4 linked regions of the Schizosaccharomyces pombe genome follow. The gene in region 1 interacts genetically with each later gene. Each region holds a gene or a part of one and is shown in the gene's direction. Other genes may lie near its edges. The genes, in order: ubr11, pfd2, rqt2 and eaf1.

What was found.
Region 2: mutations in ubr11 (region 1) and pfd2 together harm fitness less than expected from each alone (positive genetic interaction), as found in Schizosaccharomyces pombe (one large-scale study listed by BioGRID).
Region 3: mutations in ubr11 (region 1) and rqt2 together harm fitness more than expected from each alone (negative genetic interaction), as found in Schizosaccharomyces pombe (one large-scale study listed by BioGRID).
Region 4: mutations in ubr11 (region 1) and eaf1 together harm fitness less than expected from each alone (positive genetic interaction), as found in Schizosaccharomyces pombe (one large-scale study listed by BioGRID).

Annotation. Positions count from the first base shown.
Region 1 is NC_003424.3:3,700,731-3,708,518, forward strand, and holds the start of ubr11 (ubiquitin-protein ligase E3 Ubr11), read left to right. Parts: upstream 1-1,761; 5' UTR 1,762-2,064; coding exon 2,065-7,788.
Region 2 is NC_003424.3:512,227-515,469, forward strand, and holds pfd2 (prefoldin subunit 2), read left to right. Parts: upstream 1-1,575; 5' UTR 1,576-1,604; coding exon 1,605-1,632; intron 1,633-1,681; coding exon 1,682-1,772; exon of another isoform or gene 1,773-1,819; coding exon 1,820-1,943; exon of another isoform or gene 1,944-2,017; coding exon 2,018-2,119; 3' UTR 2,120-2,325; downstream 2,326-3,243. Other genes in the region: fol3 (folylpolyglutamate synthase), read left to right, coding at 1-834; putative misfolded glycoprotein sensor Yos9, read right to left, coding at 2,326-2,856, 2,996-3,243.
Region 3 is NC_003423.3:3,744,000-3,751,722, reverse strand, and holds the start of rqt2 (ATP-dependent RNA helicase), read left to right. Parts: upstream 1-1,713; 5' UTR 1,714-1,847; coding exon 1,848-7,655; 3' UTR 7,656-7,723. Other genes in the region: protein smp2, read left to right, coding at 63-251; SNARE protein Ykt6, read right to left, coding at 913-1,402, 1,451-1,554.
Region 4 is NC_003421.2:1,859,951-1,863,758, reverse strand, and holds eaf1 (RNA polymerase II transcription elongation factor Eaf1), read left to right. Parts: upstream 1-1,822; 5' UTR 1,823-1,845; coding exon 1,846-1,930; intron 1,931-2,032; coding exon 2,033-2,124; intron 2,125-2,289; coding exon 2,290-2,376; intron 2,377-2,500; coding exon 2,501-2,992; 3' UTR 2,993-3,292; downstream 3,293-3,808. Other genes in the region: serine/threonine protein phosphatase PP2C catalytic subunit Ptc2, read right to left, coding at 1-2.

The DNA of each region.
Region 1 (7,788 bases):
GGTCCCTTTATTTTTACATTATCCTAGGTTTTTGAGGAAATAATTAAATTCAATATCCAAGGCTGATAAATCCATGTATAAATGCTGTTTGTTATTTATTCAATTTATACTACTGATGCGGCTTTGCGCATTTGCATTGTATGCATCTTTGCTTGCAACACTAAGTAGCGATTTCTCGCTTGGCTACATCTAACGTACGATTGATAATTTATTAGCAGAAGAAACTAGGGTAGTGTAACAACATACTCGAATGATAAAAGTCGTTTGATTAACCTTAATGACAAACGTTTAGCAGAGATATTCAAAGTTGGACAAAGTGTAGCAAGATAAAAGTAAGCGATAGCTGCACCTATTCAATTAAAAAAGCTTTGATTGTTGCACTATAAAGCGTAGTCATATAGTGGTCAATACCCTGAACCACTTTGTATGAGAAACTAGGTATTGGAAGCAGAAAATGAGGAGAACTCGGATATTAATACCTATTCCATTTTTGCTATGATTCAGTCAAGCTAATATGAACGACATTCATTTTCTGGCATTCATCATACTTTCAATATTGGTCTTGCCTTTACAATTTATTAAGTGATTTCTTTCCAGCTTGTATCTGGTATAATGTTGTCTTATTCTGTAAATCTCACTACCCGATCGCCATCTTTGTTCCAGAGAAAATAAAGTAACTGTATTATACTTGCTATTTTATGTTTCAATATTATACTACTTATGTGCTTAAGAAACACTTGACATTGTAAATATAAGAAAAGCACACTAACTTACCACTTTCTAAACAACATATTACATATTACTAATTCAAGAAAGCCGACAACAGTCGCAATGGTGTAGTTGGGAGCATGACAGACTGAAGATCTGTTGGTCATCGGTTCGATCCCGGTTTGTGACACTTTTTTCCTTTTTCCCTAAAGAAAGATCAGCAATAATTGTTGCTAAATTTATTTTAAACACACTAACTATTCCCGTCATGTGCCAACTTAATTAGTTGGAAAGAGTCGAATTTAGCCTCCGTGCTCGGCAACAATGTAAGAGCAATTGCTTTTATTTGCTAACAATACTGCTGGAAAACTAATGAAATTTAAATAAACTATTCCCATGAAGTAATATTTATTTCTTTAAGGTTATCTATTATTTTAAAGCCTTTTTCAACATTTAACCCATTTTTCAAGCCATCAACTTTTGGCCCTACTTAAAGTATTATAGTATAGTATAGTAAAATATAGTGTGCGCATGCTACTGTTTAACCTTGATATGATTTCCATGGGCCCGAAGTATTCAAGCGCTCATTAAAATCTACTATGCACTGCGATAACAATATTTACTTTGAAATCTTGGGGTGTTAGATAATTGAGAAGTTTGGGTAATTCAAACTCGATGGAAAATTATCACCCAAAGGAAAAAATTTTAATTAGATTAAAAAGGATAAATAGTTTAAGAATCTCGAGCTGGATTACTCTAGGGTGCATATCTCTTACTTTCCAACTCATATGATGGTGATTCCTATCTGGCAAAGGATGAAATCAAGCCCACTAGATCGAAACGAAAAAAAGCAATCAACACATATTAACACATATTAAGAAGAAGGAAATAGGAAATTGAATTGAAAGTAAATGGCTTTAAAGAGTTGACTACAGCTGATGAATTTATCAAGCTGGTGTCATTTTTTGGTATCTTCAATTGGCTACTGATACAAGAAAGGTGACGATGTTACCTGAAAGTAGTATAAATGGATTTTTGGCAATGGCAAGAAGTAACTCGCCATTTAGGTATACAAATCAGAAATATTAAGAAGGAACGGTTTATAGCTGCCAAAAATATTTTTAGAGAAATTTGTTTCAACAGAAAAGTTTAAAGAAGGTAAAGGAGGATTGGAGTTTGCTTTATTCAACTGAATGCTGTTTCAATTACTTCCCCAATTTTCTGTTGATGAAAATTTGTATATTCCGTGGCTTTAGCGTGCCTGTTGTTTATTAAATAGCTTTTTTAAACCAATTTAATTATTGAAGAAAACTTTGCGGCCCAAGATCTACTTCACAGAACCTTTCCTATAATTTCATGCAATTGCACGACCCGCCGGCTCCTCTTTCGCAACCATCGGCTTCTAGGTTACAAAAATACCTTCTAGAAAGCGCGGAAAAGCATGCATACGATTCAAATGAAGAATCAAAAACGCACTTGCTGCAAGAGGTTTTCCTGTCGTTGCTGAATTACAACGAAGACAATTGGAAATATTTTCTCAAAGAAAAGCCAGGTGCCATTACTTCTGACTTTCGTCTCTCGAGGCTTCAGCACTCTGAACCCGAATGCGCCCAAGAATTACAAGATAAACGTTCTGGGTCCAAGGTTTGTGGCCACGTATTTCGTGCCGGCGAGGTGATATATCGTTGCAAGAACTGTGGGCTAGATAACACATGTGTTCTTTGTGCTCCTTGCTTTCATGCCACAAACCACGAGGGTCACGAGACTCATGTATCTATTTCAACCTCTTATAGTGGAATCTGCGACTGTGGCGATCCTGAGGCATGGAATGTCGACCTTAACTGCAAGATACATAATGTCCCCGATGACGAGGAGCAGAAAAAGCCAGAAGAAGTGATCCCACTAGAACTTCAACACTCTATCCGTACAACTATTCATATTCTTCTTGACTTCATTCTCGATGTCTTTTCTTGTTCCCCCGTGAATCTTAAAGCTCAATCTACTGTCGGTAGCATCTTAGCAGATGAGGAGGCCTCTCGTCTTAGCAGCGCAAAGTATGGTGTAGCTGATAGGCCTTGCAACGTTTTCCGTGTAATGCTTTGGAACGACGAAGTGCATACCTTTGACGCTGTTGTAGGTAGTGTGCTTGAGGCGTTAGATTCGTCAAATACGGCTTTTGGACTTGAAGTCGCTCAACGTGTTGATTCTATTGGCCGCTTTGCTGTTGCTACATCGGCTTCAGTTCACGAAGCAATAAGAATCGCGAACGCTATTTCAAAAGAAAACTTAGCTGTTAATGTTCGTACTGCCCGCGATTTTTTTCGCGAAGATATTTGTGGTATTCTATTAGAATGGTTCGATGATCTTCTAGAATCACATGTTTGCTATTTTGCTGATTATTTACAAATTATCGTTTGCGATGAAATTTTGAAGAACTGGTCTCCTGGCCTTGAAAAACCTGCTAAGCCTGAGGTGAATTTTAATAACCTTCCTCTGGAGATTGTTAATGACGATGATAGCGAGGATGATATTTATGCCGCAGAAGAACTTCTCGATGTTATCGCAAACCTTCAAGATGAAACAGGTGTAACTAGAATTGCTAATTTGGGTGGTGATGAAGATTTTGAAGCGGATATGACCGATCCTACTATTGCAGGATTTGATCATCCACTTGATGATGATAACGACGTAAATGACCTTCTGGATTTTGAAACAGAACGAGAGGATATTGATGATTTAACTGATGAAGTTATGGAGACAGAAGAAAATGAAGCTGCTGAGGCTGATTATCCTGGTGTAAACCGAAACACTCGTCAAGACGATGTTCAAGATATTTCAATGGAAACCGAAAGTCAAAACGAAACTGATGAATCACAAAACACTGAAAATGTAGATTATAATCCTCAGACGCATACTCCTGTACCTATTCCCACTACTGCAACTCAGGATGTCGTTACTATTCGCCCGGAGTTTAACTCTCAACTCCTTAATAACCTTCGACAAATCATAAACGCTCGTCGTAGACCCCGCCCTGCTGCGGTTTGTCAAGTATCTCTTCGTGAGGATTATTGGAAAAGTCCTCATCCAATTCCTCCTTCGTCATATAGCTTCGTTGAATCTCCATCTTCCATTCTTCGTTTAGATTACTTTTTGCTGTTTGATCTCAAATTTTGGAAACGGTTAAGAGGGCTGCTCTCAAAATTGTATGTTGTTCCTTTTAATAGAAATCTTCTATTTAAGCGTCTTATGGGTATACGTTTCGTAATCCATTATAGGTCTCTCGCTACAGCGTTTCTTTTTGCAGATAGAGAGCCAGACCACTCTGTCATGTTTCTTTCCGTTCAATTTTTCACTACTCCTAGTCTTGCAGAAGCCGTTGTGAAAGACTATGATTTTTTAACTAATTTAAACGCAACAACTTTAAGCTTACTAACGCAGTCTAACCGGCCGTCAACCCTTTTTTCTTCAGACATTGAATACACTCCCACAATTCAGCTAAACCGACAAGTCTTAAAAACCCGAAGGACTTACAATTTGTTTAGTGATCTCGGATACTTACTTCAACATCCGCAAGTCAAAAAGCTTGTAGTGGATGATACGCGTTATGTTCATCAGTATATTGATTTGTTACGGGTGTTCCAAGGTGTGATTCCACAACAACGGGCAATACTCAGTCACGTACAGTGGGATTTTCCTCATGGGAAAAATATATTGTTTGTAATGCAAAGGGTAGCTATGCTCAGTAACACTGTTTCATCTTGTTTTACACAAGCACCATATGAACGGTTGTTTTATGCTATAAAATGTATCATAACTTCCATCACCCACCCTAAATTAGACATTGCAGAGTCTCTCGAACCTCTCTCTTGTATTCCCTCTTCATCTTTGACAAATTTTACACAGCCCTTAGTTCCGTTTTCCGTGTCGAGGGATCCTATAAGTTTTTATCATCCTCTTCACTGGATGCTTTCCAATTTATTTTCATATTGTCGTGTTGACGCTTCTTCTCATTGGGATAAGGATACACTACTTGCTCTTCTTGACCATCCTTTGAGGGTTTGTGTGCTTTTAGCTCAAATTGATTGTAACCTTTGGATAAGAAATGGGCGTAGTATTTTATTAACTGACGCTTTCTATCGTCAACTTAATAACATCGAAGTTTCTTATGATAAGGACATCCTCGCTATTCAAACAATATTAATGTTTGTTGATCCAAACTTGGTTTTAAATGCAGTTGTTCAAAGATTTGAATTTACTGATTGGCTTTATAATTTGACTTATAATGAACATCCCAATTACGACACGGAAAGAATACCAGCTATGTTGTGTAAAATGTTAGAGTTATTAATTGCCCTTATAACAGAGCGCGAACAAATTTTACATGTTGATATCCAAGATATTATTCGCACTCGATTAGCTCAACAGCTATGCTTTGGTCCTCTTGCTTATTCTGCATTGCTGTCTACTATTTCAAGTAATTTAGTAGAGAGTTTGTCATTTGATAAAATTCGAGAAGAAGTAACTTCCTACAAAGCACCTGACGGTCTCCACGATTTTGGCGTTTACAGTTTGAAGGACGAATATTATGATTTGGTGGATCCATATTATTTTCATTATAATAAAAATGAACGAGAGGAGTCAGATACTATCCTTAAAAAACGTTTGGCGAAGAAAAATAATGTAAGTGCTGAGTCGATTATAATAGAACCAAAAATTAGATTTCTTGAGAAGGACGGCCATGATATATTTTTTGCAGCCGTCAATGCGAGCACTTTTAGTCTTATCATTTTTCGTGCGATTGAGTATGCACTTGTTCAAGCGGAGTCCTTTGGATCATCCGATATTGGAAATACTATTCTGGGCGATGCACTTCAGTTGTGTCTAATCTCTATGAAAATTCATGAATTCTCGAAATCAAATGACTTCTGCTCCCGTTCATGCGCTGAGCGTTATCCGACTGATAGTAGTATTATGAGAGAATTTGGTGGCAGTGCGTACTGCTTAGCGGAACTTTGTTTTGCAATTCTCAAGTCTCCTAAATACAAAGATGTTCATGTAAAAGTTAATGCTGTATTGGCTGGCTTACAAAAGAATGATCCATCTGCATATAGCAACATGCTGGAAGCTACACACTTTGAACTCTCAACTACCTCTTCTACTTCGGATTCTAACGAGATTGAGAAAACGCAGGAAAAGAAAAGATTAGCTTTAGAGAAACAGAAGAAAATTATGCAGCAGTTTCGCGATCAGCAAGCATCTTTTCTTGCCCAAAATACCGATTTCGATATCGGAGAAGATCAAACGGAAGATGAAGTTACAACAGAAGAGCCAGAGGAGGAAGTTAAGTACCATGAACATATCCGTGGTAATTGTTTGCTTTGCCAAGAGGAATGCAACGATCAAGCACCATATGGAGTGATCGGCATTATTCAAGGAAGCTCATTACTTCGAAAAACAGATGTTCACAGCGAAATCATTTTGGATGAAATTTATAGTGTTCCCCCTAATTTAGATAGGGAATCTCATTCGAGGCCATTTGGAAAAAAATATGATACAGTTGTTTTCAACCGTTCAAAAGATCGTTTATTAAGTGCTTATCCCCCAGGAAATAACATAAGAGGTGTTTTTGTCTCCGGTTGTGGTCATCTCATGCATTTAGGTTGTTTTAAAAACTATTACGTTGCTAGGTCCATGTATAGAAATGATGTTACCGCTGGGTTAAGTGAATACTATTACAAGTATTCTACTGCTAAATTTTTTATGTGTCCTCTCTGTAGGTCATTGTCGAATGTGTTATTGCCTATGCCTCAGATCCCCAAAATGTGTCTCAACATTGACACCCTTAATTTCCCTCGTAGCATGAATGGTTGGTTAGAGGAAATCGGTACTATGTCTTCCTCGAGCTTTGAATATCAATTAGTTCGAAGTTCTCTGTCCGACACGAAAGATACTTTTAGAAGCTGTTTCCTGAGACCTTGGATAAACAGCAAAATTATCTCGGCAATGCTTGCTCGCTTAAAGATAGCCGATGGTGCATTAATTGATCAAAGTAATAATCGGGACGTATCCGACCTTTATGATCGATATTGTGAAACAACAAAATTGGCTATGAAATTGGTTAAAGGAAGTACATTTACGAATGTTTCACCTCATGATTTACTGAACAGTTTGGCCTATACCGTTTCTTCTCTAGAAGTTAGTCAGAGGTGCTCTCCGAAACAAAGTGGAGCAACTCGATCGGTGTGGTTCAATGAACTGGGACCCCTAACATTATCGTTTTTGCCGACTTTATCTGATACCGTTTTGAAGTGTGTTTGTGATCAGATCATAAAATCTGACCAACAAGCCCTCTTGTTAATGGAGAGCCAAAAACTGTTAGTTTGTAAAATTTTCTATCGTCACTCGCAATTAAAGTCCATGTTGAGAAATGGCCGGATGTCTGACCATGATCAAATTCAACCGTTTTTGCTTTCAAATACTTTCGATGACTTTGTGAAAATTTCATCTTTAATGCTAATCTTTGGTAAACAAGATAATATTTTGTATTACGTTAAGCTTTTCTATCTTTCAGAAATTTGCAAGACAATAATTTCTATGATAAAAGTGGTTGCAGATTCATCGGTCGTTCCTGATTTAACCATTAATTATAGTCAGCAATCCAAGTCCCAATTTTATATTCTATGCAAGAATGTACTGCTTTGGTGTGGTTCTTCAAATAACATTGAAATTTTGGATGATGAGTCTAATTTACTTCGTTTAATGTCTTTGGTGGAGAAGTATTCTTTACCGTTTCTCCGACGAGTTGCTTTGGTATTATATTGCATGTTTGACATTTCACTCGAGTTCAATGAATTCTCCAACAATGAAGATGACAGTGAATTAGAAAGGCTTTCCAAATTAATAAAAGTTCCTCCTTTACAAGAACTGTATTCTCAAATGTCTTCTGATGAAAATAATCAGATTTTGGAATTAATCGCTGGCTGGTGTGAACACTTAGCTCAAAATACATGGGGTGATAGTACTATATCTTTGGAATATCCTGGCATATATGAGCTTGTCAAATTACCTCACAGGCTAGAA
Region 2 (3,243 bases), 3.2 Mb from region 1:
CTTTCAATAATTTCACGTATTTGCTTGGACCATCAAGCATTTTTAGGAAATACCTTAGAGGCTATTGCTAAAGAAAAGGCTGGGATCTTTAAAAAGAATGTTCCGTGCGTGGTTGATGGGTTAAATGAAGTTAACGTCCTAAATCAATTAAAATTAAGTGCAGAGGAAACGAGGGCACATCCGTTTTATTTGGCAAAAGGAAAATCAGGTGAAAACAAAAATGAGTGGATCATCAATACTCCAAATTGGGGAACCAATACTTTTAGTACTCCATTGAAGGGGGATTATCAAGGACAAAATTTGGCTTGTGCAGTAACTGCTCTCGATATCCTTTCTTCGTCATTTTCAATTATGCTTCCCCATGTACAAAATGGTGTAAAAAATACATCTTGGCCTGGAAGGCTTGACATTCGTTCGGTTCCTTCTTTGGGTGATATTTTATTTGACGGAGCACACAATAAAGAAGCTGCGATTGAGCTTGCGAAATTTGTAAATTCGCAAAGACGTGAGCACAATAAATCAGTATCATGGGTAGTAGCTTTCACTAACACAAAAGACGTTACTGGGATTATGAAAATCCTTCTTCGTAAAGGAGATACCGTTATAGCGACAAATTTTTCTTCAGTAAGTGGGATGCCCTGGATTAAATCAATGGAACCTGAAGTTATAAAAAACAGTATATCTTCGGAATCTTCTGTGGAATGCTATACTGCAGATAATCTAACAATAAGCGAAATTTTAAGACTGGCAAAAGAGAAGAATTCCAGCGTAATTGTATGCGGTAGTCTTTATCTTCTAGGAGACATGTATCGTTATTTAAAACTGGACGTATAGCCTCTAAATCGTGCTGTTTACTTTCATACGTTTTTCCTTGTTTGACAAATTTATCATATGAATTGTCACAGAGTGATGAATTGTGCTCTAGAGAATTTTGTTCCATGACTTAAAAACTAAAATTTACTTTCAAAGAAGCTTGAATGATGCTATCAGGTTAATAGAAAAAAGATAAAAGATTTATATTAAGCTTTGATGGGTTTTTGGTGTGAGTTAAGATATTGAGTTAGAAATTGACTTATAGATTACGAATACATTAGTTTAAATACTTGGTGCGCTCTGCCTGCAGCCTTAATAAAACAGATATTATTTTCATTATGTGACTAGATCTTGATTTACAATTCTTACAAGATAAGGTGGGATAACTGAAGCATATTTAGCACATTGAAAGATTCCGCCTTTCTTTTAATTATTATTAAATACTGTCGTAACTGCAATAAAATAAGTAAAACGCTGAAATCGTTAAAAAAATATACCCTTCTATCTCACAGGTTGAGCTAATCAAGTTGATATACGTATAGTGCAAATGATAGGCATTTAAAAATTAGACTAATATAGTTTAACTATTACATTAATTTTAAAATACACAAACATTTAATTACTGTTTTAAAATTATACTCAGAGTCTAATTAATTACAGATTTACCGTAATCCATAGCGCTTGTTATCTATCATTACAGCAACAATGATTGCTACGCACTAAAATTCGTATACGTTTTAGATATAACATGTATAATCCACCAACATTTTTTGAGTATACAAAAAAGCAGAATGGCTGAACAACCTTCTCGGCAGCAGAGTATGTACTGTGGATGAGTTTAAAATACAAAATAGTTGACCAGTTCCAGTTCTACAGACGCAGTACAATTCATATAAGTCTCGGTTACAACAAATTGCGCAGAAGATTGTCGATTTGGAAACCGATGCTGACGAACATAAGTATGTGATACATAAAAAATTTTTAAATTAAATACCTAACTAAAAAGACTTGTTATGGACACATTAAACTCCATGGATAATAATCGACGTTGTTTTCGAATGATCCATGGAGTGCTAGTGGAGAGAACGGTGGGAACTGTTGTGCCTATCCTTAAAACTACTCAAGAAGGGGTAAGGAATTTTTTTATTTTGACCCTTTATTGTCAGATGAATTTTTGGTCTTGATGTACTAATCAAAATATTAGATTCAAACAGCCATGAATGGTTTGCTCGACCAGTATAAGCAGCTCGAAGCAGAATTCCAAAAGTTTCAAAAAGACAATAAAATTCAAGTCGTTAGACAATAATACAGATGACTCCATTAATTGCGCAGTTGCGTTCATTGACACGCCGACTGTTTTTCAAGTGCTTTATCTTCGGTTTAACATTTTTTTCCTAAACAGAGGAACAGGGATAGAATCCAAGAGTATTTGTGTCATCAAATATCATCACTTTATGTTATTAGAGTTTCACTTAAACCGTAGACTTAATACATGTAGTAAGTTAGGTAGAACTAACTTGATTGCGTCTCTACCTCCTTCACCTCAGGCGGAGATGTTTGAGCAACTTCATCAACAACGTGCTGGGAATCCTTATGGTCGACTTCGTTTGATTTTTCTTTAATTACATTATAGCACACAATTTTTTCAGAGGGTATGTCCTCTTGAATTTTGAAAGCAGGTAATGAGCATAAACCGGGAACGTGAATAGTCATTGAATATGCACAGCTTGAAACTTCTTGATATTGAGTAATTTCAGGAGTATCCGAATTTGTACTGCATTCATAACTTAGAATTACGTGTCTTGGTCTCTTAGTAATGTCGCACATAGTCCCATTTCGGAAAGTTGTTTGCAAATATGCTTTACCTTCAACAAATCCAATAGCCCAATTTTCTTCCAAATTCTTTTTAGTTTGAGTGTTAGGTGCCGTACCAAGTATATACATAGGGTTAGCAAGGACTTTGTCAGAACCTTGCTGCGGCTCCAAATGATATTGACGCACGTGTTGACCGTAGACATAGTCATAAGTCCAATAACCACGATTCTAATACAATGATTAGCTTGAAAAACACTACATGTACTAAAAGTAGTCATTAATTCTAAAATTTTTATGGACATGTCAAATAATGACCTTTTAGTAAAGTTGGTTTGTTTAAGACAAATAAAACAATTAGAACTCGTACCTCGATTAAAAATACATTAGCAAGCTCATTGATTTTTTCAGTCCCTTGTATCCGCAATTCTTGTAAATCATAGCTTGGTTCGGTTGTGCTATTTTGTTTTATAAGAGACGCATTGGGATATACACAAAAATATTCATGCTTTCCAGCATAGAATAATGACGATAATTTAGTTTTTTCAGTTTTTTCTTTAATTGAGTCAATGTCGCCCTCTAATATTGACACATTACTCCATTCAAACGAATATTTAG
Region 3 (7,723 bases), on another chromosome or scaffold:
GAAGTGGATTGTAATGTGTTTGTTTACTAATCCATTACACCAATTTTCTTGCACACATTCACATGCAGCACAATAAGGAAAATCATTTTGTAGAGGATGCAAAGCAATTCCAAGAAAAAGCAAAACTCTATCAAGGAAACTACTATACACTGGATGGAGAATTAATCACCATAATACCTAGCTCGAAGGAGGGCTTTCGATCATGCAAATCGCTTTATTATAAGAAGAAGCAACCTATACCGGGAAGGTAATAAAATATAGATGCAGCTGCATCTGCAGCATATTGATGGCGTGCTTGCACATACTCCTCAACCCTTCAAACTTTTACTTCAATAAACGAAGGGTACCAAACCACTACCTTTCTTGAACTATTTTATCAAAGAAATGCATAATAGCATTAACGAATAATGAAAATTACTACCAAACCATTTTGCTTGCCAACAACAATTGAGTTTGTGTAACTTGATATATACTAGAAGATAAATCTAAACTATAGAAAAATCTGTAACGAAAAAAGCCCGATAGTTTTCTCGCTCCAACAAACTCAATAATTTTACAATCTTTAAAAAAATCTCCTTTACAAGTTTATAAAGTGAACCATTCATGCTATGAGCATCAACGAAGAGTGTGTATGCTCATTGAAACATGCTAGACTTTTTCAACAAGTAATCTACTCTATAACATAAAAGCAATCCGGAATGCAAACAACGTGTCATGAAAAGATCAGATTAAAGATAATGATAGAAGAACAATTTCATGGACTCTAGGAACAGGCGCAGAAAAATTAACAAGGTTTTGATATTCAATCGATAATTGCAGCAAACAAAATGCAAGAATACCAACTTGAAAAAATATGATATAATTTGGGCATTGGGAAGAAAGGAAAACCAAACAAATGAATTTATAAAATAATTAAGCTATTATACAGCAAGAATTTTGCTTTTTAGCAGATTTATAAAACATTCGAGACTGTGTAGATAAGTTATCACTACGTTGGATCAAGTCGTCCAACTTCTCTCCTCTAGCTAAGACACTCTCGATTGTTTTATGAAGTACATCTTTAGTTTCATCCAATTCTTGTTGCACTCGCATAATCGTATCAGCCTGCTTGGGGTCTTGATATTTTGATAGATAGGTATCCAATTCTGGAAAGGATAGGGTAACAGCACCAGATTCCCATTTGGTGCGAGGATTTTTTGTCAAAAATTCGTCTAGAATCTTATTTAGAAGAGTATAAGCAACACGTAAAGGGTATTCCTTGTCACTAGCAATCACACCGCACAACCCATCCGATCGGTTGTACACATGAAAAACGTAATTGGACTGTTCAACGTCTTGTCTTTGCCCTGGATTAGTACGTTCTGCAACAGTCTTTGTAAAAAAATTCATGAACTCTCCGATGCTGAAATATTTGTTAACAAACTACTCTTCAATTAAATCTTGCACATACGATGATCGTTGAAAAAATGAGAAACTAGATAAGTCTGAGGCAGTGCATAATAATTGCACTGGTTTTGGGTCAAAGCGGAGTATAGAGACAGAATACAGCTTCATTCTGTAAATATGCTGTAAATCAAGTTAATGGTGTGGGTTAAGTTTGTTTCTGCTTTGGTTGAAAACGCCATACTTCTTGCAATCGTATGTACACACATAATACCTTCGACTACGGTATTTTTCTATTACACAAATAATAGGTAGTGGCCATTTGTTTACAAACCATCCCCTACACTACTAGCAGTGCTAAATTGGGTAGTATATTGGATACAATCCTATAAAAGCAATAAAAATTCAAATTTTTTCTGTTTAAGGAGGTTTTAATTTCAACGATCTATCCTTTTACAGTTTTCATGGAAGTTGAGTTAAATTATGTAGTGAATCACTTAGAAAAGCTAGGTCCTGCTAGTTTTTGTGATACTCCATATAGCTTTTCGCTGAGTGATTCGAATGCTGAGCTAGGTGCTTTATCGTTAAAAGTTGACGAAATTTTGAAAACAAATTATAATTTAATCAATCCCGAGGACGTTACTGACTCCGACAATAATGAATTTGCTCTTAAAGATTTAACTTGGCTGCAAAATTGCTGCAATGAAATTTCTCAATCTTCAAGTACTGAACTTGATGCTTCAGTACTATTTGAAGCAGTCATTATGAGCCTAAAAGCGACTGAAGATCAATGTGCCATTCAAGAAGATTTACTGAATCTTGTTGGACTTGATCATATTGACTTGATTTCAGATATCGTCGCTAATTCGTCCAATTTAATAGAAGAATACATGAATCAAAATGATACTTCAATTGCTGCGCAACTTTCTGATGGCTATACCTCTGAAGCTGGTTCTTCTGCTACGCATGGTCAGGGATTATTAGACAGTTTAAAAAGTAGGCCGAGAAGATTTAGTCGGTCTCGTGATAACAGAGGTCCTTTATTTACTGGACAGCAAGTTTTTGAAGTGGAAAAATATCCTCATGTGTATGGGGATAAAAGGCTTGGTAATACTATTAGCGTCATTGGGAAAAAGTTTGCATTACCGGCTGGTAGTGAAAGAGAAGATTACCAGAAATATGAAGAGATTATTGTTCCTCATGCTCAGCGTGCTCCACAAATGCAAGGGGAAAAGTTGTTAGAAATTTCTTCGATGGATATTCTTTGTCGAAAAACATTCCTTAGCTACCAAACTTTGAACAGAATCCAATCGCTTGTCTATCCTATCGCCTACAAGACAAACGAGAATATGTTAATTTGTGCACCTACAGGTGCAGGAAAAACTGATGTTGCTCTGCTCGCAATGTTGCAAACAATCTCCAACTATGTAGAAAGTATGAATCTTATGGATGAATCGGAACCTCTAGATGTTCATAGAGATGATTTTAAGATTGTCTACATTGCTCCTATGAAGGCATTGGCTGCTGAGGTTGTAGAGAAAATGGGAAAACGTCTCGCTTGGTTGGGATTGAAAACTAGAGAACTTACTGGTGATATGCAACTAACCAAAACGGAAATAGCAGAAACTCAGATACTTGTTACAACACCTGAAAAATGGGACGTAGTTACTAGAAAAAGCGTCGGCGACACTCAGTTAGCCGAGAAAGTACGTTTGGTTATCATTGATGAAGTACATATGCTTCATGATGAACGTGGTGCTGTTATTGAATCACTTGTCGCTAGGACACAAAGGCTGGTAGAAACAAGTCAACAGATGATTAGAATTGTTGGTCTTTCTGCCACACTTCCAAACTACCTTGATGTAGCTGATTTTTTAGGCGTCAATAGGTACAAGGGATTGTTTTATTTTTCATCTGCATTTCGTCCATGCCCTATTGAACAGCATTTCATCGGTGCTAAAGGTTCTCCTAAAATAGTAAACTCAAATATTGATGAAGCTTGTTTTGATAAAGTTTTGAAACTGATTCAGGAAGGCCATCAGGTAATGATATTTGTACATTCTAGGAAGGAAACCATTAATTCAGCTAAGAAGTTGAGGGAACAATTTTTCCATGAGGGAGAGGCTGATTTGTTGGACAACTCACAACATGAAAAATATAGTCTAGCTCAAAGAGATGTTTCAAAGTCAAAAAACAAAGAGTTAAAAGAACTTTTCAAATACAGTATGGGGATTCACAACGCTGGCATGTTACGATCGGACCGACATCTTACTGAACGTTTGTTTTCTATGGGTATTCTTAAAATTTTATGCTGTACTGCTACCCTAGCATGGGGTGTTAATTTACCGGCTTATGCTGTATTAATTAAAGGAACTCAGCTTTATGATCCACAAAAGGGTTCTTTTGTAGATCTTGGCGTGTTGGACGTTTTACAAATATTCGGTCGTGCTGGTCGTCCTCAGTTTGAAAGTTCGGCAGTCGCGTACATAATTACGACACATGATAAACTTTCTCATTACATCTCCGTTGTAACACAACAAAGCCCTATTGAATCTCGTTTCACCGATAGATTGGTTGACAACTTAAACGCTGAAGTTTCTTTAGGAACGGTAACTAATATTGACGAAGCTGTATCGTGGTTAGGTTATACTTATCTTTATATCAGGATGAGACGTAATCCACTTGTATACGGTATTGCTTATGACGAACTTGTTGAGGATCCTTTACTAGGCAGCAAGCGAAGAGAATTGGTATCTGTAGCGGCAGGAAGGCTGGCAGATAATCAAATGATCGTTTACAATAAGAAAAACGGATACCTGATTCCTAAAGATTTAGGTAGAATCGCGTCCAATTACTATATCAATTATCAAACTGTCTCAACATTAAATAATTTATTGAAAAGCAAAATGTCGGAAGCAGACATTATAGCTCTTTTGAGCCAATGCAGCGAGTTTTCCCAAATCAAATCGAGAGAAAATGAGCATCGTGAGCTTGAATCACTAATGGAAAACAGTAGTCCTTGTCAGTTGAGGGATAGTATTTCGAATACATCAGGAAAAGTTAACGTTATTCTGCAGTCATACATTTCTCGTGCGCATGTAGAAGATTTTACCCTAACATCAGATACAAATTATGTTGCACAAAACGCGGGTCGAATAACTAGGGCTCTTTTCGAAATTGCAATGTCAAGGACTTGGGCCTCGGCATTTACTATCCTTAGCTTAAACAAGTCAATTGATAGGAGGCAGTGGTCTTTTGAACACCCCTTACTTCAGTTTGATCTTCCACATGACCTTGCAGTCAAAGTGGAAAATCAGTGTGGGTCTTTATCATTAGAAGAATTGTCGGACATGTCTACAGGAGAACTTGGTGATCTTATTCATAACCGAAAAATGGGCCCTACAGTTAAAAAATTTATTTCCAAATTACCTCTTTTAAACATTAATGTTGATTTGCTACCTTTAACGAAAAACGTTTTGCGACTTGTATTAAATATCACTCCCAATTTTAATTGGGACATGAGATATCATGGAAACAGTCAAATGTTTTGGATATTTGTTGAAGATAGTAACGGTCTTGAGATTCTTCATCATGAACAGTTGCTCCTAAATAAACGGAACGTTAGCACTTCTCATTTACTATCCTTTACCATACCTGTGTCTAATCCATTACCCTCACAACTATACATTATTGCAGTATCAGATAAATGGCTAGGCGCTGAAACAGTTACCCCGGTTTCTCTTTCTAATGTTGTTTTTCATGACGATTCCAATCCCATTACAGAATTATTGGATCTTCAACCTTTACCAATTACGGCTTTGCACGATCCAGTGCTAGAAGGTATATGCGCTAAAAGATTCTCGTTTTTTAATGCAGTCCAAACTCAATTTTTTCACACTATTTATCACACCGATACAAATATTTTCGTTGGTGCACCTACTGGATCTGGTAAAACTATGGCCGCAGAATTAGCTACTTGGAGAGCTCTTCACAATTATCCTAAGTCGAAAGTAGTTTATATTGCTCCAATGAAAGCTTTAGTCAAGGAAAGAGTAAAGGACTGGGGACACAGGTTAGTTGAACCAATGGGGATTAGTATGATTGAATTAACTGGTGATACTAACCCGGATGTTAAGGCTGTTACGAATGCAAATATCATAATTACAACACCGGAAAAATGGGATGGTATTACTAGAAGTTGGAAATCTAGGAAGTATGTTCAGGATGTCTCATTAATTATCCTTGACGAAATCCATTTATTAGGTAGCGATCGAGGTCCTGTCCTTGAAATGATTGTCTCCCGAATGAATTATGTTGCTTCTCAAACTAATAAGAAAGTTAGAGTTCTTGGTTTATCTACTGCTGTTGCTAACGCTAACGATCTTGCAAATTGGCTTAACATAAGAGATGGTCTATTTAATTTTAGGCATTCCGTGCGCCCAGTTCCTTTAGAAATATATATCGATGGATTCCCTGGTAGAGCCTATTGCCCAAGGATGATGTCGATGAATAAGCCTGCTTTTCAAGCCATCAAAACGCACTCTCCTACCCAACCTGTTTTAATTTTTGTTTCGTCGCGCCGTCAAACTAGATTAACTGCAAAAGATTTGATAGCTTTTTGTGGTTTAGAAGACAATCCTAGGAGATTTTTGTACATGGATGAAGAAGAATTAGAAATGATTGTTTCAGAAGTTGAAGATAAAAGCCTCAAGTTGGCTTTACCATTTGGTATAGCACTTCACCATGCTGGTTTGACTGAAAATGATAGAAAAATTTCCGAAGAGCTTTTTGTAAATAATAAAGTTCAGATTCTCATCGCCACCAGCACTCTTGCATGGGGTGTAAATACGCCGGCACATTTGGTAATTGTGAAAGGAACAGAGTATTACGATGCTAAAATTGGAGGCTATAAAGACATGGATTTGACGGATGTGCTTCAAATGTTAGGGCGTGCAGGACGACCACAATTTGACAATTCTGGTGTGGCACGTATATTTGTACAGGATATTAAGAAGTCGTTTTATAAGCACTTTCTACATAGTGGATTTCCAGTAGAGTCTTATTTACATAAAGTATTGGATAACCATTTAAATGCCGAGATTGCTACGGGCACTATAGATTGCATACAGGGTGCAATGGATTTTTTAACGTGCACTTACTTCTATCGAAGAGTTCATCAAAATCCCGTTTATTACGGTGCTGATGGAGATGACCAAAAGAGTATAGATACTTATTTATCGAAACTTGTTGTGACTGCATTTAATGAACTTGAAAAGTCAGCTTGCATATATCGTGTCAACGAAGAAACCTATGCACCTACAACTTTGGGTCGTATAGTTAGTTACTATTATCTTTTTCATACCACCATCAGAAACTTCGTTCAAAAAATAACTGAGAACGCTGAGTTCGATCTTGCGTTGCAATTGCTTGCTGAAGCATCTGAGTTTGACGATCTCGCTATTCGTCACAACGAAGATTTGATAAACATAGAGATTAATAAATCTCTGAAATATTCGGCTGCTTGCCTAAACCTTCCTATGGTCGATGCTCATGTTAAGGCATTTATATTAACTCAAGCTCACATGGCAAGATTGAAACTTCCAGTGGATGATTATGTTACTGATACTAGCACGGTTTTAGATCAGGTTATTCGTATTATACAGTCTTATATTGATGTGTCCGCTGAGCTAGGCTACTCCCATGTCTGTTTACAGTACATATCTCTAATGCAGTGTCTTAAACAGGCTTGCTATCCGAGTGAGATTTACAGAGCTTCATTACCTGGACTTAATGCGTCTAGTGAAAAGGAAGCAAGAGATTATCTCAACAAATTTGCAGGAAATAAAACTGATGAGTTATATCAAATGCTATGTAATGACCCTAACGTTTTTGATATAGAAAGTCTGGTCAATAGTTTAATTTCGTATCCTAAAATGAACATTGAAGTTTCTCAATCGTCTTCAGATAAGCTACTCCTTTATCTACGACGCCTCAATCAGCCGCTCAACCCCGATTTTTACATTTTTGCGCCGTTGTTCCCTAAACCTCAAAGTGAGGGATTTTTCGTTCTCATCATAGATTCAGAAACTCAAGAACTGTTCGCGATACGTCGGGCCTCATTTGCTGGGCGAAGAAACGATGATTCAATTCGTTTATCCCTTCGGATTTCAATGGATATTCCACCAACTTGCCGCAACAGAAATGTAAAAGTCATGGTTGTTTGTGATGGATACCCATTAATTTACGAACATAAAATTGTATTGATGATTTAATGAAGCTTTTGTAGAAAAATAGAAGGCTTTAAGCCAATTTCCTTATTATATTTAAGTCTGTTTAATAA
Region 4 (3,808 bases), on another chromosome or scaffold:
ATGTGTATATTTTCTATTACCTTTGTTAGCCCAGCTAAAAAACCTGTAATTTGCGGTTGATGCGTTTAGTAAAGTTACGGAAAGGAAACAAAAAAAAGTGTATGAGCAAATTAATAGGGAATTTAACCACGCTAGCTAAATAATATATAAGGATACTTTAAAAAAACTTTATATCGCATTACGCTTTAAAGTTGTCTCGTTAAAAAATAGCGATTTTCTGTACACCACGGAAGCGTTGCTTTGCAAATTCGTACGCTTTACGTTATTAACCAAATCGTTGTTGGGTAGAAAAGCGTGAAAATGAAGGGTGGGTAAATAATTTAGTAGAAATGATTTACAATATAAAAAATAAATTTTGATACTGTTAAGCTTCAATGTGCTCCAGCTCCGGCTAATATACCCTCACAAAGACACTAATGAACGATGCCTTGAAATTGCTAGCGCATCGAGGAGCCCTTACTTATAATAAAGCTATGGCGATATCGAAAAAAGTAATCCAAACCCAGGTCTAAAAGCAATTCTTGCTTCTTTCCTTTCACTGTTCGCTCTGGCAAAAAGGTCGTACTGGGAGTCGAACCCAGATCTCGAGAATCAAAATCTCGCGTGCTAACCGCTACACCATACAACCGAGTACGGTAAAGCCGTAGATTATGTTGCTTTACCATAAATGAAAAGTTAATATAATAATCCAAGAGGTAGAGAAATGAGAATGGAATGTTCATGAAAATGTCGTAGACTTTTTCCCCATGCAACTTGGTACATTAATAATACAATAATAAACATAATCTTATTCAAAAAGGCTTTGCTCACAATGCTCATATACCTGCTTACACTAGTCAACTGTTTATACAAGCTCTTCGTAATTAATGTATTAGAAGCTAACTTCGTTAAAAATGTTAAACGTTCATTTCCCGCGATTCGCTATATGGTAAATTTTTTAAAAAGAAATGAGCTGTAGCTAATAAATATCAATGAATGATAGATTGACGCAGCAATAAGAAAAACCATGTATTTTGACTACTGATTTACTAATTTTTAAATCGATCGTGACGTTTTTGTTGTCAATAGCAGCAATAAATCTAACAGTCATCATACTCTGAGAATTTTGCCCTACGACATGCACCTAAAAGACAAGAAACGCAAGTAAATTTTTATAATATTTCAATCATACTGCTGACTGTGCGCAGGTAGTCCTCGAATGTATATATATCTTGTAAATAAAGGATTCATCCTTGTACCGAAATGATATATACTGTACAACCTACAACGTCTTTCTCGGTCGCGCACTGTGTAAGTTCGTTTTTACGAATGCTAAAATAGCTGCTCGCAAATTGGTATAGCAAATTGAGTGTTTATCCATTATCGTTCATTTCTTGTCAGCAATACTACACTACGCTATGATACACTACGTTGCGCATCACTATATGTCATATGTTGGAATACTAGCTAAGATCCGTTTATTGATAATCACGGGTAACTATCCGTCTATATACATAGATACCCGATGATAACAACTATTTAGAAATATTATGAATAGAGTTCCAACTGAACCTCGTTCCTCAGTTCAGTTATGAGCTATATTAGTGATAGGTAACATTATAACCCTGTTAATACAATACCTATTCTCAGTTGCTACTTATACAACCTGTGTAATGTAATATAATAGACCACAAGGAAAACTCACCGCAGTTCTACGTATCCTTAAACCAGATACCAAACTGCGTAGCTTACATTTCTGGGGTTTAAAATTAGAAACCTTGAGCTGTCTTACCTTACGTTATTTATTTGATTTATATCGAAATTTCCAATTTCGTACAGGCCTGACTTTTACCATTATAAACAATCATGAATTCATTACAGAAGGGATCATACAAAGTTATTCCCGGGTCCAGCTTCTCAAAGAATTCAAATGGACTTTTATCTATTAAATGTACGTTGCCCATTTATTTTTAGAGACAGTGTATATCTCTGTTGCAAACTATGAACATCATACTTTCTCCAGGCAGAATACTTATTTCTTTTTTGTTTATAGACAATTTTATACCAGAAAGTGTGGACCCTTCTCGTCGAGGTGTTTTAGAAAAGGCTCAGGAAGCCTATCGTCTACGTCTTCCTTCAACTTTTGTAAGTATTATAAAATTGACTAAGCAAAGTTGGTTTCCCTTTTCTTCCATGAGGAGTAAAAATTTGAAAAAATCATTTTTTTACTTTTTGGTTCCTCAAATTTTGAAACATCAATTTGCTTCTGTTATTGAATCAACGAATGCTAATGTATATCTTCATTGGTAGGATGATGACAGGCCTCATATATTTGAAGGCTCATGCCAACGAGCCAGGAATGTGGACTGTGTACTAATTTTTAACGCTAAAACAAAGGTAAGTTATTGTCCCATATACTATTTTTAAAGAGGTTAAAATCTATGTATGCATGCGTGCATGTGTATGTATAGAACAGGAATCGTTTTCATGTCACTACTACGATACTAACATTAGGCATTAGACATTCACACTGGAGCATATTGATGAGATTGCTCGATTAAATGCTTTACGCAATCCAAAAGTCTCTAAAACTGTACCTTCTAATGCCATCACTCAATCTGATAATTCCCAAATCTCTGAATCCAAATCGACCTCTCAAAGTGCGGTCACGACTAATTCCACGAGACGTAAAGAAAAGGAATTGGAAGCTTCAAAGGATGGAAAAATAAAACCTTCATCGAGCAATACTCGATATCCTGCCATATCTAGCAAGGGACCAATCACCACCGATACCAACGATGAGCCTGACATGGAGGTCATGGAGTTGGATGACTTTGCCAAAGAGTTAGAGCTAGGATTTGATCAGGAATTTAATTCCATAGACGACCCCTCTACAGTATCCCAAACGGCCAGCAAACCAATCTCTTTGAGGGGTCTATCTTCGCAAGAGAGGGATTATGCTTCTTCTGCTCAGGCAGAGGGTATCAGCAGCGCTTCCGAGGATGAGGATTAAGTATGCTTTATGCTGTGTTTCGTATACACTTTCCAAACACGATAATGAGAAAATCTGTTAATGAACGACTTGCAACGAAATTCCAGGGAGTAAAGTAAAGCAAGACAAGTCTTTTCCATCACTACTCGACAGCGAATCGGCGGTAATAAACTCGTTTCACTCTGTGTCATTTTTTTAATTATATACGAACGTGTCTACGCCAAGGGAAAAACATATATCGTTTTAAAATGTTTTCATCTTTTTATATTTCTTTTTATTATTATTAATTCATAATGACTATAAAAAACATGGCTTGTCTTAGCGTTTCATGAGACGGACAATTTTATTCAACCCACGGCAATACCAGAGTAGCAACGTTGGGGTTTTAAATAAACTATAAAAAAAAAAGAAGCTTGACTAGTAAAAAAAAGAATTAGTAAAAGGAGTTAAGAAAAACTAATTGTCTGAACCAGGAAAAAGACAAAAAAAGAGTTTTGACATTCGTTTGTAAATTGCTCAGTAATCAAAGTTGACAGCATTTTGGTTGTCAAGACCATCAGGCTCATTAAATCAGATGATTAAGCATCCTTGCAATCCAACATTTGTCGTTTCAGTTTCCTGCATGCAAAAGACGAGCTTACCTATTTAGTCTGAATATATGAAAATGAAAAGAAGTTACTCAAAGCATTTCCACTAAGGAAAATATATTGTTGTAATTAGAAAAACTAAACTAGAAATCACCATCCAACAGCATCAGTCAGTATAGATAGTGTCAACTAGCGGTGTGTTTTACCAGGTAAACATGTTGGACAAGGAATATAATGAATACGTTGTTTA